Linked DNA regions of Drosophila melanogaster. The protein of the gene in region 3 interacts with the protein of the main gene of each other region in a pairwise test. Each region holds a gene or a part of one and is shown on either strand. Other genes may lie near its edges. The genes, in order: CG2608, grsm and SCaMC.

Region 1 (4,757 bases), on a different chromosome or scaffold from region 3:
AAAAGAAAGAGTTATTGTAGTGTTGTTGAACATAAAATCACGCAAGCTAACAATATTTTAAAAATCAGATCTACTATCGAGATAAATCAGTCACAGATATCAGACGTCCCTATCTAACGATTTCATCACAAAAAAAAATCATAAATCTTTAGCAATCATTATACTTACAAGTGTGGAAATCATTCTTTCGTCGGTTTTCAGTCAGAAACATCAGTTTTTCTGCATTATCTAAAAAGAAAGAGTTATTGTAGTGTTGTTGAACATAAAATCACGCAAGCTAACAGTATTTTTAAAATCAGATCTACTATCGAGATAAATCAGTCACAGATATCAGACGTCCCTATCTAACGATTTCATCACAAAAAAAAAAAAATCATAAATCTTTAGCAATCATTATACTTACAAGTGTGGAAACCATTCTTTCGTCGGTTTTCAGTCAGAAACATCAGTTTTCTGCATTATATAAAAAGAACGAGTTATTTTAGTGCTGTTGAACATGAAAGCACGTAGGCTAGCAACATTTTTAAAATCAGATCTACTATCGAGATGAATCAGTCACAGTAATCAGTTGTCCCCATCTAACGATTTCATCATGGTTGTGGAGATCTTCTTTCTGTATTATTCTTACCGCGTAAACTTCCCATGCTGGTTGGTCCCAAGAAGTCTCAAAGTGAGACTCTTTGGGTCACAGCTGCCAGGCTGTCAAAGTGAATTGCTCGTTTCTCGTGATCCGCACATCTTTTAGTTACCATATAACTTTCAGCTATTTGACATATCTTTCTCTATTGTATTAAGCAAAATTTTGTTGCGTTTTCTATTAGCCATCGTGCTAATTTAGTTTATTTTTCTTGGAATGGGCAACACGTGGTGCGGCTTTCGGCTGGCATTAAACTGTGACTGCTTCTTCACCACCGTGACAAGAAAGAAGTGACGAACAAGAAAATACTGGAATGGAAATATTCTGTATTTTTTGGTGATTTTTGAGTGGCGCCCCGTTTTTAAGATTTTTTTGAACCTTGCGACGTTTTTTTTTTTAGGTTTTTATTATATAAATAGATATTGCGATTCGGACTCTGCTACGGACACATAACTTGCTTAAAACATGTACAACTTTCGGATCTTAATTGGCCAACAAATGAAATTGCTTATTACTTATGATTTACATGGCAGTCAGAGACCTTTCATGTGACTAATCTGAATCAACAAAACTAATCTCACTCGATACAAGGCTGTCATTACTCAAAAAAAAAGGGCATTTAATTTAATGGGGCTAACCTAAGATAAAAATTAGTATCAAGCCTATTACCAAATACGATTAATGTGGGCAAAAACATAGTATGAATACTATAAATTTAAAAATCTTTGGCTCCCTGAAGATGATTACTGCTCTGTTTTGTCAAATATTGTCGATGTTATCGAGCAGGAGTTTGCGAACAAGACGAGCATGTCATGTCTGATTCTCTGATTCTGATTTAAGAAGTATAATCCTTTTTTTTGGTTGCGACAGTCTTGCATTAAGTGAGCTATCTGTATACTAATTGGGTCACAGGCGACTCATGGGTCCTCTGTGGATGTGGTTGCCTCTTGCGCTTGCTGCTCTTGCTCCAGCTCCTGCTGCTGAGCCAATCGCAGACGCTTTTTGGCCTGGATGTCGGCCAAAGTTTGTTCGATGGAGCGCACATCCTTCTTATTCTTGCTAGGCACGAATCCGTAGCTTTGGTTGGTCTCCGTCTTACGGGCCGCCTGCAGTGCGGCCGACTCTCCGATGAGGTGGGCATACTTGGCCTTGTAGTTGGTCGTGGGCTTAACTTCGCCGGAGTCCTGATCCGCTGATGTGGATGTGGACGAGCCTGAACTTGCTGCTTCGGATGTGGAGGCTTCTTTGTCACTTTGCTCCTGCGCCAATCGTTCCCGCCGTCGCTCCGCGTACTCCTTGGCTATCTCCTCGTTCCAACCGTCTCCGTTCCGACGGGCCGTGACCTCATCCTCGCCAGGAGCGTGTTCCTTTTTGTACACAACCGAATGTCGGTCCACATCCTCGCGGCCAAAGCTCATGGCAATGAAGCCGCCATTTTCGGCTACTTCGTGGATCACCGAGCGATGCACTTTATCCAGCGGCTGAAACTCGATGCATCGCCTGTCGTCCTTGGCGAATCGCCCCATCCGTTCGTCTACATATTTTCGGAATCGGAGGAGCTCCTCTTTCTGTTTGTTCTGCATCCGCTCTAACATTTCGCGCTGTTTCTTGATCAGCGTCTTCTGTTGCTCGTTGTTGGCAGGCGGCGCATCCATGGCGTTGAGTATTGAGTCGAGCAGATCCATTTTTCCGCCGTGTTTTCCTCGCTTAATGTTGAGCAATTGGCGGATGTGCGCCTGCAATGCCATCGAAAGATATGCGAGGGAATTTCAGTTAATCGAGCTGTTCGCTCTTCGTGGCCGTATTGTTAGGAACTTACCACTCTCTGGCGTTTATTATTATCCCGTTGAGATGTTTGATTGCGGTTGATCAGCTTGTTTTAGGTGGTTTAATGTAATTATAATTATATTGACTACCGGTGCTTGTGCACCAAATAAACTCTGCAAAAAATACTGAAAGTGAGGATGGCCAACTTGGTCGCTATTGCCATACTTCGGTATTTTCGAATCGCAAAACAGCTGTTTACACTCGACGGACGACTTGAAACATAAATTCTTGAAAGATTTAAAAAAATGTATATACAATATCTTGCTCAAAACATGTAAAAAGAGGTTAGACATTTCATTTTGTAATTTTAAATTGATTAAAGCATGTAGAGCATGAACGTTTAACAAGTTCTACGTTTTTACATCATAAAATATTATTGTGAACATATTTAAATTTCATATTATGCAATGAAATTTGTCTTCATATTATTTGCACTTGCCCTATCTACGTATGTGAACAAAATAAACACGCTCACCAGAACATTATACACTTTCCTTGCAGCGCAGTGTAAATAAGTTCAGAAAACGTGTTGGCAGGTTCGTTAGAACGCTCTTGCTTTTGAAATATATTTTCTACGATAAATCCGCATAGGTACCGTTTGAAATCGGGGACACGTGCCAAAATGGATTCACAAAGGTCCACGTTGGTCCACTGGTTCCGTAAAGGACTCCGGTTGCACGACAATCCGGCATTATCGCACATTTTTACCGCCGCTAACGCTGCTCCAGGAAAATACTTTGTTCGCCCGATTTTCATTTTGGATCCAGGAATCCTCGATTGGATGCAAGTGGGTGCCAATCGATGGCGATTCCTGCAGCAAACGCTGGAGGACTTGGATAACCAGCTTCGGAAACTTAATTCCCGTCTGTTTGTGGTGCGCGGGAAGCCCGCAGAGGTTTTTCCCCGTATTTTTAAGAGTTGGCGCGTGGAAATGCTAACTTTTGAGACAGATATCGAGCCGTACTCCGTGACCCGGGATGCTGCCGTGCAGAAGTTGGCCAAGGCAGAGGGTGTGAGAGTGGAAACTCATTGCTCCCACACGATTTATAATCCGGAATTAGTAATAGCGAAGAATCTTGGCAAGGCTCCAATTACCTATCAAAAGTTCCTGGGCATTGTGGAGCAACTAAAGGTACCTAAAGTTCTAGGGGTTCCTGAAAAGCTTAAAAACATGCCTACACCACCCAAAGATGAGGTGGAGCAAAAGGATTCGGCGGCCTATGATTGTCCTACGATGAAGCAATTAGTAAAACGCCCGGAGGAACTGGGCCCTAATAAGTTTCCGGGAGGTAAAAACATAGTTAAACTCTTGATCACAACTACAACAATGTGGATTTCTTTTTATCAAACAGGCGAAACAGAGGCACTGCGCCGCATGGAGGAATCCCTAAAGGATGAAATTTGGGTTGCCCGCTTTGAGAAGCCCAACACGGCACCCAACTCGCTGGAGCCTAGCACTACCGTACTAAGCCCTTACCTCAAATTTGGATGCCTTAGTGCCCGACTGTTCAATCAAAAGCTCAAGGAAATTATCAAACGCCAGCCGAAGCACTCGCAGCCGCCCGTTTCGCTCATTGGACAACTCATGTGGAGGGAATTTTACTACACAGTGGCGGCTGCGGAACCCAATTTCGATCGAATGTTGGGCAATGTATACTGCATGCAAATTCCGTGGCAGGAGCATCCAGATCACTTGGAGGCCTGGACACACGGACGCACAGGATATCCTTTCATCGACGCCATCATGCGTCAGCTGCGCCAGGAGGGTTGGATCCATCATCTGGCCCGGCATGCAGTGGCATGTTTCTTAACGCGCGGAGACCTCTGGATCAGTTGGGAGGAGGGACAGCGGGTGTTCGAGCAGCTGCTGCTGGATCAGGACTGGGCACTAAACGCTGGCAACTGGATGTGGCTATCTGCGTCCGCTTTCTTTCACCAGTATTTTCGCGTCTACAGTCCGGTGGCGTTTGGCAAGAAAACGGATCCCCAAGGGCACTATATCAGGAAGTATGTGCCGGAACTCTCAAAATATCCTGCTGGCTGTATTTATGAGCCCTGGAAGGCGTCGCTGGTGGATCAGCGGGCATACGGCTGCGTCCTCGGCACGGATTATCCCCACCGGATTGTTAAACACGAAGTGGTGCACAAGGAGAACATTAAGAGAATGGGCGCCGCCTACAAAGTAAATCGGGAGGTGCGCACTGGCAAGGAGGAGGAGTCGTCTTTCGAGGAGAAATCAGAAACCTCCACGTCTGGCAAGCGGAAGGTGCGAAGGGCAACCGGAAGTGCCCCT
Region 2 (5,689 bases), on a different chromosome or scaffold from region 3:
ATATCGCGTGCTTCTGCCGCTGCTCTTTAATCCCTTCTCGGCCAACGCTCACTTTTACATTGTCTACAATGAGTGCCTGAGTCGCGAGGAAATGGGCAAATTGGTGAAGCTCTGCCAGATGGGCATACAGTTCCAGCGGAATGCGGACGACTACGGCAAAATGTTGAGCATTATACCGTGGATTCGGCACATTTGGCCCGAATGGAGTGGCTACAACAAGCTAAACGAGTCCAACCTATTCGTGCGGCAGTTCTTTGCCGACTTTGTGGATAAGTATTTGGACAGCTACGAAGAGGGTGTGGAGCGCAACTTCATGGATGTCTACATAGCTGAAATGCGCCGAGGTCCGGGCTACGGTTTCAATCGGGATCAATTGATCATGGGCCTGGTGGACTTCTCCTTTCCGGCCTTCACTGCCATCGGAGTGCAGCTATCGCTACTCGTCCAGTATCTCATGCTATATCCGGCAGTTCTGCGGCGGGTTCAGAACGAGATCGACGAGGTGGTGGGATGCGGACGATTGCCCAACCTGGAGGATCGCAAGAACTTGCCCTTCACGGAGGCCACCATTCGCGAAGGTCTGCGCATCGAGACGCTGGTTCCCTCGGATGTCCCGCACAAGGCGCTGGAGGACACCGAATTGCTGGGCTACCGGATACCCAAGGTTAGAAAAGTTTCCTATCTATTTAATTTTAAAAACCAAACTATTTTCCCCTATATACCCGTACAGGACACCATTGTCGTGCCCAGCCTGTATGCCTTCCACTCGGACGCCCGTATTTGGTCGGATCCGGAGCAGTTCCGGCCGGAGAGATTCCTGGACGCGGATGGCAAGCTCTGCCTGAAACTGGATGTCTCGCTGCCCTTTGGAGCGGGAAAACGGCTCTGTGCCGGCGAGACATTTGCGCGCAACATGCTCTTCCTGGTGACAGCGACCATGTGCCAGCACTTTGACTTCGTCCTGGGCCCCAATGATCGGTTGCCCGATCTCTCCCAGAACCTCAATGGACTGATTATTTCGCCACCAGATTTCTGGCTGCAACTACAGGATCGGCATTGAAAGTAGCCAAGATATTAGAGTTATCTATTTTTAAGACAAAGTAATTTTACTGATTACGTTAGCTAGTTTGCTTGGATATTTTTTGAGGAATTTTATTCCGTCACATTTCAAAAATATTCTAGAATTGCCCAATACTATTATGTGATGCACCACAACGAACTATTTATTTTAACATTGTCGTTTACTCATATCGTGTGGTATCAAAGTTCGCGAACGGAACTTGTTGAGAAGATGCGATTGGAATGAGATGGGTTTCTTAGAAATCCTCATTATCGCTGTATACAATGCAATCAGAATCTGAGCTGGTGGATGAAAAACTCAATGAGCGAACCAGCGAGACCATCGAAGAATGTATTGAGGGATTGGGGGACTGGATAGCATTGTACTCGGATTCTGAATCCGGATCGTATCCTTCCTCATCGTCCATTTCCTCTTGCGGGTTCACGAATGAGTTGTCCAAAGGATCCACCTCGTTGGCGGCTTCCATCGTTGCACCCTGAGTCTCATTGCGCAACTCGATCACTTCTTGGCGAATCTGGTTCTGCTCCTCCGCAATGGTGGCCACCAGTTGTTCGAGACTGCAGATCTTGGCCTCATATTCGGTCAGTTTCTTCTTCAGCTGACAGTTTTCGGCCCGACAGTTGGCCAATTCCAAGCAGGCGCACATGGCGATCTTGACGTCATCCGAGGTTGCGGACCTGGTACTGTATGCAAACCACATTGTTACCACAAGGAACACATACGCCGGATATCGAAAGCGATCTCTTGGCCGAAACTTACATGTTTAAGCCACTGGAGTTCTTATTATGAACCGGGCAATTGAGGGACATTTTGAGACTTGAAATTTATAGGCAGTTCAGTTTAGCAATTGTCTTACGACAAAATCAACTTTGACCTATTTGTACTCGGAAAGTTCACCCAGAAATATTTGACACTGTTTTACTGTTCTCTTCGATTCGAATGCAAATATGAGCTTCTGAAATACAGAAATTCAAGGTCCCTAGATTTTAATCTCCATTTTAAATGGGTCGCAAATCGAATATAAATCAAAAGATACAGTCAAATTACTGCAGATTGTTTTACTAGCCGAGCTGATAACAAAAATAAAATAGCAAACTGCAAGATAATGTGCAAACACTTTGACCAAAATGCCCTTATCAATATTAAGACAATTGAGTGGCAACAAAAAAAATAGAAAATAGAGTTGAAAACAAGGTGATAATTGTTTGGTTACGAAAACGACAACTTGTTCGCTATGAACCCAGTGTTTAAAATTCACTATCAAAACAAGTGAAGTTGACATACACATGAAAATATATCTTACTTAAAAGTAACTTTTATAAATAATAAAATAAATGTTAATATTATTTAAACTACTGGCACTTACGCCTTTTGGTGACTTCATCAGCATGCATTCACGACTCGAGCGGTTGGAGCTGCTTTTCCGGGGACACCTATTGACGCTCCTTGGCTTGCAGGCCGGAGTCGTGGGCTTTCGGGAACACTTGGGCACTATTTTCTTGCGGCCGCATCCCATATGTTTGAGTTTCTCCGATTGACGCCGATGACGCGAAGTGGAGCTTTTGCTGAGACACCGTTTCTGGTACTGCAGGGTATTAACGAAGGGCAGAAGATAAAGTTCGCCGGTCAGGGGGAAAGTGTGTAATCCCTAGGAACTTACTTTCGATCGATACTGATTCTTTTCTCGCGAACTCAATGCATTCCAGTACCCCGCTCCCTGACGCAGTGACTCCTCCATTTGGAGGTGCGGGGATTTAAGATGTATAGCCACCGCGTAACTTAAAAAGCCGTTTGGATACGGTGCCATCTCTACTTATACTTTTCAACTAACGTACTGAAATTTAGGATGCTAAACTAAGAATTACGTACAAAACATTCGAGCTTGAAAAATTGAAAGGTACAAATTTGAGTTGAGTTGCTGTTGCTAACTGATAGAAGTGAAATCTCAAAACTACTTGTTTAATAATAATTGCCAGTTTCTGGATTTGATACACAACTCTTCGTTGGCCTTAGTTTATTATGATGTATATATTACAATTTGGTTAAAAACTGTTCGCTTAGCCTAGCAACAAGCGGTTTAACTTCAAAACTTACAGATAATTTGTCATTACACTTAGCCGTATTAGATAAGCGAGAGTCGTTCCGTTCCGAGGACCCTTTCTCCAAATTTATATTGCTTCGACTCCTAAATATCAACTTACGAACTAATTGATTTATATTCACGTTGCGCATGGACCTGCATCCATGCCAGTAACTTGGCTAATACTGGCCACTCCCGCCGATCCCCAAATCACCCCGATCCCCCCAAGGTCCTTGGCCAACTCCTCCCTCGATTATCCTCGCCATTCCCCAAACACGCAGGTGAAAGGATTTAGGTTTTGGTTTGGTTCTAGTAGTAGGCCTGCTTTATGGCCGCACTGGTGATAAGGAAAGCGGAGCCAATCAGCATGAAGGTGATGATTTTGAGAGCACTTGGTCTACCGGAAGAATCTGCGAAAAGCGTGACATTCATAGATCATCCTTACTCAATTGGTTTTGCAAGGACACTTACTTTTCTTATTGGGCATCACGCGAATGCATTGATTCTGATTGGCGTTCGCCGAGTAGCCCAGCTTGCACTGGCACACGGAGTTGCGGCACTCGACATTCTCGGGATCCTTTTCTACATAGCACTCGGTGGCCTTGGTGCACGACTCTCCCAGCTCTGCAAGATTGCAACATATTAGAATTATTACAAATAATTAAAGAAAGCTTAGCGACTCAATTACCTCGCTTCGTCTCACAGACTCCGTTCTTAGCATGCTGCTCATCGTTGCATCCACACTTGCCCTCCGAATTGCAGCTCGCCAGGAGCGGCTTGCACTGCTCATCCTCGACGCACTCGTCCTCCAGCTCCTCGGCTATAATGAAATGTAATGTGGGGCAGGGCATAATTTTGCTGCTTTGCATTTCAGCTTCTGAGTACTAACCCTCTTTTAGGCACTCATCCTTAAAGTGCACGTATCCCTTTCGGCACTGGCAGGTGCGCGACTGATCCTCCTCGTCCTTCTCCTGGCATTCGGTGTTCTCAGGTATGCAGTCATCCTCCACCGAGCAGTCGGCACCGATGCCACGCATACACTGATCGTCCTTCTCAAAGTAGTTGTCCGCACAAACGCACACGCGATTGGAGCAGACGGAGTGATCCACAGGACAGCCATCGTTCGACTCACACTCGGCTCCCAGGCCACGTTTGTATTCGCAGAGCTGCTTGATGGCATCGTAGAGAGCGTACTCCTCGCAGGTGCACCTCCTCGGAATCTCCGGGTGGCAATAGGAGGCGCCAAATGGACTGCATTGGCTGTTCGAGGTGCAGGATAAGTGGTATTGAATGGCTGTTTTGATGGAAAAGGATATATCTTAAGTGCGATTCAGCAGCTAGCGTTGGAACCACCTACGTTTTCTGCAATTGCGCAGATCCCGCTCGTAGAAATAATTCTTTTGGCAATTGCAAGTTTTGGTCAACTGATCGAACTCGTACTCGCACTCATCCGTGCTCTCCGCAATTTCCCCCAGTTCTAAAGAATTTTCATTTCAGTTAATTTCATTAATAGAAGAATTAAATTGGGGGAAACCCAGTTTACTCACCGGCAAAACATTTTCCATTGCGGGCATAGTAACCCTGGCGACATAGGCAAATATTCTTGGAACAAATCGAGTGCGGCAGACCCGAGCATGTCTTTCCATTATCCGTGCAGCTGCTGCCATCTAAATGGGAAAAAAAATAGTTGAAATATATTTAAGATTGCCTAAGCATTGAGAGACTTCATTTTTTTGGGGGCATTCTTGGATACTCACACTTCTTCTCATCGGCATCGTCGTCATCGCGGCTGGAACCCAGCGTGGAGTAGGTCTTTATATCCTCGTCATCGAATCGGAAGAGGGCGGGCAAGCGGCGTCTTTGGCCATGGGCGTGTCTCTGGTTGCGGCTGGAGTTGCGCCTGCTACTGGTGCTCGTGGAGGCGGTGGCTGTCGTTGTGGTGGTGGCGGTGGCCGCATTGCGCACACTTCGTCCCACCTCCCTCAGCTCGTACTTCTCGATGCTCGTCTGGACGGCAATCTCGTGGGATCGGGGCGAGATGAGCGGCTCGGTGTCGCCATTGGTGAGCTGGGCGAAGGACACCTGGGCGGCGGCATCGCTGTGAGTGGGCGGGGGGGCGTGTACAAAGGCCTTGGTTAGCTGCCTTCGGCTACTGAAAGCGGTCTCCTGTTCCGGATCGGCAGTCTCGGTGATCGCCTCGGCTGTGGTTGAATCATCATCCTCTGGCGAGCCCGGATTGGTGGTCTCCGTTTCCTCGGTCTCGCCACCCGGAGTCGTTGTGATCTCGTCCACATAGGTGCATACTAGGCCAACGCACTCGACACCGGCGCCCAGTTCATCACAGTCCGCGTTAACGACGCAGGCATCGTTTTCTTCTGAAAATCAGGCATATATAGAGCCATATAGAGCCATATATACCATTTACAATAACTTCTCGACTAACACATACCCATTGATTTGCGACGGCAGATGTTTCCATATCTGTTATAATAGCCATTTGCACAGCCGCACACGTTTTGCTGACAACT
Region 3 (5,727 bases):
GTCTGATGAAATAATCATAATGTTTACGCCAGTCTCGACTAAAAAAGAGAACGAGTTTAAGAGAGTGCACATGATATGGTATGGCTAAAGCTCCGTCTCTTGGGCGCTCCGGTCCTTGAAAAATGGTCGCTCGGGTGAAGGTAAAATACTACGAGATAATACACATGCAGGCAATATAACTAGTGGCTGATTAGCGAATGGGACTGATGATAAAGCCTTTTTTCCCGGTGGGTGTGACGGGGTGTGATGGTTGTGATGGGTGTGTACAGTGTCCGGGCGTAGGTACGTATGTGTTCCCGAGTGCCCTGCTTCTACGTGGGTGGGTCTACAACAATATCAATGGTAATCGTAATATGTAACTTGACGGATATGTACCTTCAGATCTTCCTCAGTTAGTCAGGAGTAGTGTGGGTGTAGGTACTACATTCGACATTTTGGTTTGTTAGTGTGTGAAGTGTGTGTTTTTTCGGTTTAATTTTGTTTTTGGATATGGGCGAGGGGATAAGAAGGGTAAAAGTTGGCAATTAGTTAACGTTAAACAGCTACATGTATACTAGTGTACATAGATATTTTAAAAACAAACGCGATAGAACGAAAACTAATCCAGAGAAACAGTGGAACACCTTCGAAGAACCACTGCTCTCTGTTTTATGAATTCAGCAACTTGCAAAACGTATCTCTAGTAAACTCACAGTAGAGTGCCGCCAAAATTTAATCAAGTCATGAATGTCCGTTGAGGGCGCCAAGAGCATGAAGTCCCGCCACTCGTTAAAGCTAATGTTCAGGCTGCCATCCTTGTCCATTCTGCAAGAAAAGTCACGCGTATTAACACATGCACAAAAGAAAGTTGAGGATAATTAACCCACCTGGTGAGCAGATTTCTGGCCTCGTCCATGTCAATGTCCAGGCCCAGGTCCTTGAACGCCGATATCAGCTCCTCCAAGTCCACTTTGCCTGTAATACAATTCACTTATAAGAACTAATCCAATTAAGGTTTAATCAATTACCCACCATCGCGATTTTTATCTAGGTGCGAGAACTGCAGGACCAGGTTCTTCTCATGCTCCCGCACGTAGTGCAGGAACTCGGCGAAGCCCACGTTGCCGCTCTGATCCTTGTCCGACTGCTGAAGGAATTTCTGTAATGGAAAGCAAGTGCGGAATATTACTGGCATTGCTCCTGGAAAATTTACTAGATTCACTGCCGGAATATTACTGGAAAATTTGTGTCGAACACTCGCAGGCCTTTCGCATAGTGAGCCGCTGACTAGAGTATCGACCTGAATCGTGAAAGCAAATCAATTTCTCGTATCATGCGGGCTTCGCCGGCGGAAACCATATAAATCTACTCAGTTGTCTGCACATTAACCCTCTATATACCATCTAATCCAATTCTGATTGCTTTCGGAAGTTGTCACAATACTTGTTGCATGTAATTTCACAATCTGGCGATTTGTGCAACATAAATAAACTAATATAGGATTTCACTAGAAGTATAATGGAGCAGAATTTAGGTCACAGGATAAAAGTAATAGTTTAAATTTCTTTATATCTAGTTTGTTTTGGCTAAAATATAAACAAAGCTGCTAATAATACCACAAACAATATCTGTTAGTCAAACAAAGAGATTTGTACGCGAAATAATATTGTGCTCATCTAAAAATAGAATATTCATCTTCGCCTGGTTTGCCACCCCACATTTCTTTTGATTTAATAAGCCCTTTTTTGGCAACTGCAAAAATGACACAATGAAAGGGTCAGGCTGCCCAGGGTCAGCAGCAGTGCCAAATGTTTCGCCTTGATCAGAGCAAGCAAACAATGCAAAATGTATAAATTAAGATTCTCAGATACTTTTGCCCGTCAAGGCCGCATATTATTGATCTCAACCGTCTGCCTTCTGTTTGGCGAAGAATAGCAAATAGAAAAAGGCATTGTTAGTTCCCTGTGAAAATGGCGAGCCCAGGGCACGTGTAGTTCAACTATGCTAATCAAGATTGCTTGTTTTCTACCCTAAGATACATCTGTTAAAATCATGGGAGCCTCAGATATGTCCTATCCATGATACATTTGAAATAGCTAGATGAGATGTGATGGCTTCCATATATCATCCTATAAATAGGCTTTGCTCACCTCCGCGTAAACGCTCGACAACCCGAACTCGTGCAGTGCCGCTGACAGGTCGTGGATATCGATCCTGCCGTCGCCATCGCGGTCCAGCTTGTTGAAGATGCGCTCCAGCCGCTCCTCGTCCTCGATGGGGATCTCGGTGGGCAGGATGGAGCCGGAGCTGGCGACCTCGTGCAGATCATAGGCCAAGGGCGTGTTGGTAGTGCTGCTGGTGGCAAGATGGGCATGTTGCAGGCCGAGATTTTGGCCGTGCTCATAGCTGGCGGCTAGCGTGCGGGCGGAGTAGTTGGCCTGCGCCTGCTGGGCGAAGTTGAAGTTGCTGGCCGGATCGGGCGTCAAGTCGATGTCGATGTGCTGTTGCTTTTGATCCTCTGGCTTATAGTCCTGCTCCTTTTGATCCTGCTGCTTGCTTACTGCTAAGGATGCACTGTTTTCGATTCCAACTTGCTTTCTGACCATTCTCCACACTCGTGTTTACAGTTTACCTTGAGTTTTCTGTTCTTTAACTGGCAGCTGAAGGATTTCTCTGGGTTTGCTCGGTTTCCGATTCTCTGGGGGATTACGTGTTGGGCTATCAGCTGCTCTGCTCTTATGGCCGGCTCATTTTGCACTACTTGGCAAGTCAAATGGAAAAACAGTCGTCTGAAAGAGGTATCGAGTGTTGTATACACATTAGTTTATAATGTTATGTCTGGGCGAAAGATAAATAAAACAGCTCAACGTATCGAATTTCCCCGCGATGAAGTCATCCTCTTCTTGGCTGGAGAACTACATATGTACATTGTAGGTGCCAATTTTCAGGATCCCGCGTACAACCCACATCCCATTGATTTTCGCAGTTAATTTTGAAGGCCAGCGATTTTCCGGAAAACCTTGAAAAACCCACAGCTTCACGCACACGCACGCACATGTCTCCAAAAGTCGTGGTAGAGGGGGGGAGTGTTGGGAAAAGGGAGACTTTCCCCCAGCAACTCGAACTTTCTACTTTGCAAAGCGTAGCTTTAACCGAAGAATTCTTCACGCTCTCACACACTTTCTACATTCTTTTCTGAATTCTCCGCCCATTTTCCAGACAGGTGTGACTCAAATTTCTCTCGAAACGCTTGCAAATTGTTGCCAATTTGGCAAAAATTATTCTGCACTCGATTTTCATGCACACACACACACACACGCTCACATGCAGGCGAAAGGAATGTGGATATGCAAAAGAAAGTGGCAAGCTTCAATTGCATTTCCCACTTTTTCTGTGGTCACTACCTACTGGTCGAGCTATTTAAGAGTTCGTCTGCTTTTACGCTATTTCGGCGACTTTGTGGCTTAAAGCGATTCACGCAGAACTCTTCAATTTTAATTTTTTGGGTTTGCCAGTGTGACCACGAACGTTTATCTAGATATACTTCTTGTGTGGTCGAAAATACCCTAAAATGCATCGCGTCACTGCTTAGCCGTGACTCAAACCTATTTGTGGTTTTTAAAATGTGGAATTGTAGGGTAACACTATTAATTTTAAATGTATTTTTTAAATTTGCAAATATTTATATTTTTTGAATTTAAAACCGCCCATTTAAAAAACGAACGACTACACTTGTTAACATAATATGTATTTTCTCATCTCGCATCCCTCGCAGTATCCTGGCATACACTTTAAGCTAAGTAATTCGTTAGTTAAGTAGATCTATACAAAATTGGTCTAAACTGTGGAAATAATCGGGAATAGTTGCACTTTATGTTTGAAGTCGAAGAATGAATACACAATTCAGTTGGTTACATTAAATGCGCGCATAGCAGCCTCGGGGCCAGACATCAAGAGACACATAAAACAAAGGAGACACAACTTGACAACCGAATGGAATACAAAAAATACAATCGCATAAGCTGCTCGCCACGGTTTCTAGTTCATCAGCAGATTCCAGGCGTCGTCCTCGGCAGTGCCTTTGTTGGCGGACGAGGCCGTTGCCGTCTTGGGCTTCACACTCTTCACGTCCAGGCTCTCGAAGCCCTCGCTCAGCTTCTGCGATGTGTCCTGCAGCTTCATGTTGCGGCGAGCTGTCGATCCGCCGGACGAAGCGTTCTGGTAGGAGGTCTCTGAACTCTGATAGTTCGTCGCCTCGAAGCCGGACCAGTCAGCGTCGCGGGTTAGGCCGGCGGAGGCGGTACCGCCGCCGCTGCTGCTACTCAACTGATTGTGGTACGAACTCGAGCTGGTCATGTGCGACTTGCTGTTGCCGTTGTCCTGCCAGCCGCCCCAGTCGCTGTCGCTGACGCCGCTCTGCTGACCCAAGCCTCCGGCCAGATTACCGCCCACGGAATTGGAACGCTGGTAGGCGCTGCTGTCCTCGAAGTTGGGATCGTTGTATCCGCCCTGCGGCGACGAAATGTTGCTGCCCGCCAGATTATTCCAACCTCGTTTGCCCATATCGGTGACCTGCGATCGGTATGTTTATATGTTAGAGGGATGTGGGTTTAGAGAAGATTAACTGGATGATGGGGAACTACAGACCTTGCTGGCTACATCGGTAACTCCGCATTGTACGGAATCTAGCAGAGTTCCCTCTTTAATCTACAACCAAAAAAAGATGCAAATAAATAATACAAACAATAAGGTGTACCAATTAAATTAACAAACAAATATGGGGATTAACTAAAGGGATTTTGCTCTCTTTTGTTGTTAAGGTGGGTTTCTACAGCTTTAAATTATTTAAAACTAATCAGCAGACTAATAATAAACCAAAAGAATACAAAATCAACATAATATTGAACCAAATCGAAGAGAATAGGCAAATAAGGAATCAAAATCTGAAAGATATACGAGCTGAGGCGCAGGACTCACCTTTGTCGAGGCCAAATTGACGGTGGTGACGGCCTTCTCCTTGGCGGTGCTGGCCAACTTGGAGGCGTTGGTGGAGAAAAGGCTCCAGCCAGAGGCCAAAGTGGAAAGCGTCGAGTCGAAAAGCTCCTGAGATTGCGTTTTCGGTGGTGGTTCGCGTGTGAACCCGAAACCTGCATATTTTCCGCCCTGACTCGGTGGCAAGTTTCTGAAACAATCAACTAGGATAAATCATAGCTAATGGACAGATATGCCATTAAGATCCTACTCTGGCCTGGAGGCATTCTCCACTTGGCGTCGGCTGAAGAACTCCTCCTTCTGGTCCTTGAACTCCTGCGTTTGGTACTGCTGATAGCCTCCAGGCTCGGCGCCTCCGCCATTCTGATAGCCTCCGTTTCCGCCATAACCTGTTGCACTGGGTCGCGACTGGTAGCTGCTGTTGCTGGAGCCACCTGAGCTGAAGCTATTGTTGCTGCCCACGCGGCCTTGCGCCTCCTTGAGATCCCAGCTCTTGCCCTGGGCCAAGGTGGCTATCTTATCGCGGTACAAAGCAGCCGCCTTCGAGTTGTAACGCTGCGTGATAGGCGCCCGTTCGTTCCAGTCCTCCTGATCCTCCAGAAACTCGCGCGCATTGCGATTGCCGCCCGCCTTCATCTTCTCCAGCTCGATGTCCTTCCACTTATCCATAGTGACGGAGCGCACGAAGGACAGATGCACGCCCAGACTGCGATGCTTGCCGGAGCACTCCAGGCAGATCCAGATGCCGTAGGTCAC

The links.
Region 1: the proteins of SCaMC (region 3) and CG2608 interact in a two-hybrid assay, tested with the Drosophila melanogaster proteins (one large-scale study listed by BioGRID).
Region 2: the proteins of SCaMC (region 3) and grsm interact in a two-hybrid assay, tested with the Drosophila melanogaster proteins (one large-scale study listed by BioGRID).

Annotation. Positions count from the first base shown.
Region 1 is NT_033779.5:20,643,660-20,648,416, reverse strand, and holds CG2608 (uncharacterized protein), read right to left. Parts: upstream 2,596-4,757; 5' UTR 2,457-2,595; intron 2,374-2,456; 5' UTR 2,323-2,373; coding exon 1,555-2,322; 3' UTR 1,036-1,554; downstream 1-1,035. Other genes in the region: phr6-4 ((6-4)-photolyase), read left to right, coding at 3,087-3,753, 3,817-4,757.
Region 2 is NT_033777.3:12,964,713-12,970,401, forward strand, and holds the start of grsm (granny smith), read right to left. Parts: upstream 3,001-5,689; 5' UTR 2,889-3,000; coding exon 2,742-2,888; intron 2,667-2,741; coding exon 2,448-2,666; intron 2,037-2,447; exon of another isoform or gene 1,891-2,036; coding exon of another isoform or gene 1,841-1,890; intron 1,765-1,840; coding exon of another isoform or gene 1,317-1,764; exon of another isoform or gene 1,226-1,316; intron 1,212-1,225; exon of another isoform or gene 1,061-1,211; coding exon of another isoform or gene 731-1,060; intron 665-730; coding exon of another isoform or gene 1-664. Other genes in the region: Cyp304a1 (cytochrome P450 304a1), read left to right, coding at 1-664, 731-1,060; CG14384 (uncharacterized protein), read right to left, coding at 1,317-1,764, 1,841-1,890; CG7381 (uncharacterized protein), read right to left, coding at 3,471-3,571, 3,633-3,785, 3,850-3,981, 4,051-4,455, 4,519-4,638, 4,709-4,828, 4,919-5,536, 5,611-5,689.
Region 3 is NT_037436.4:12,411,319-12,417,045, forward strand, and holds the start of SCaMC (short Calcium-binding mitochondrial carrier), read right to left. Parts: upstream 3,525-5,727; 5' UTR 3,384-3,524; intron 2,769-3,383; 5' UTR 2,586-2,768; coding exon 2,130-2,585; intron 1,139-2,129; coding exon 1,012-1,138; intron 955-1,011; coding exon 867-954; intron 805-866; coding exon 693-804; intron 1-692. Other genes in the region: ArfGAP1 (ADP-ribosylation factor GTPase activating protein 1), read right to left, coding at 4,018-4,551, 4,627-4,686, 4,957-5,161, 5,222-5,727.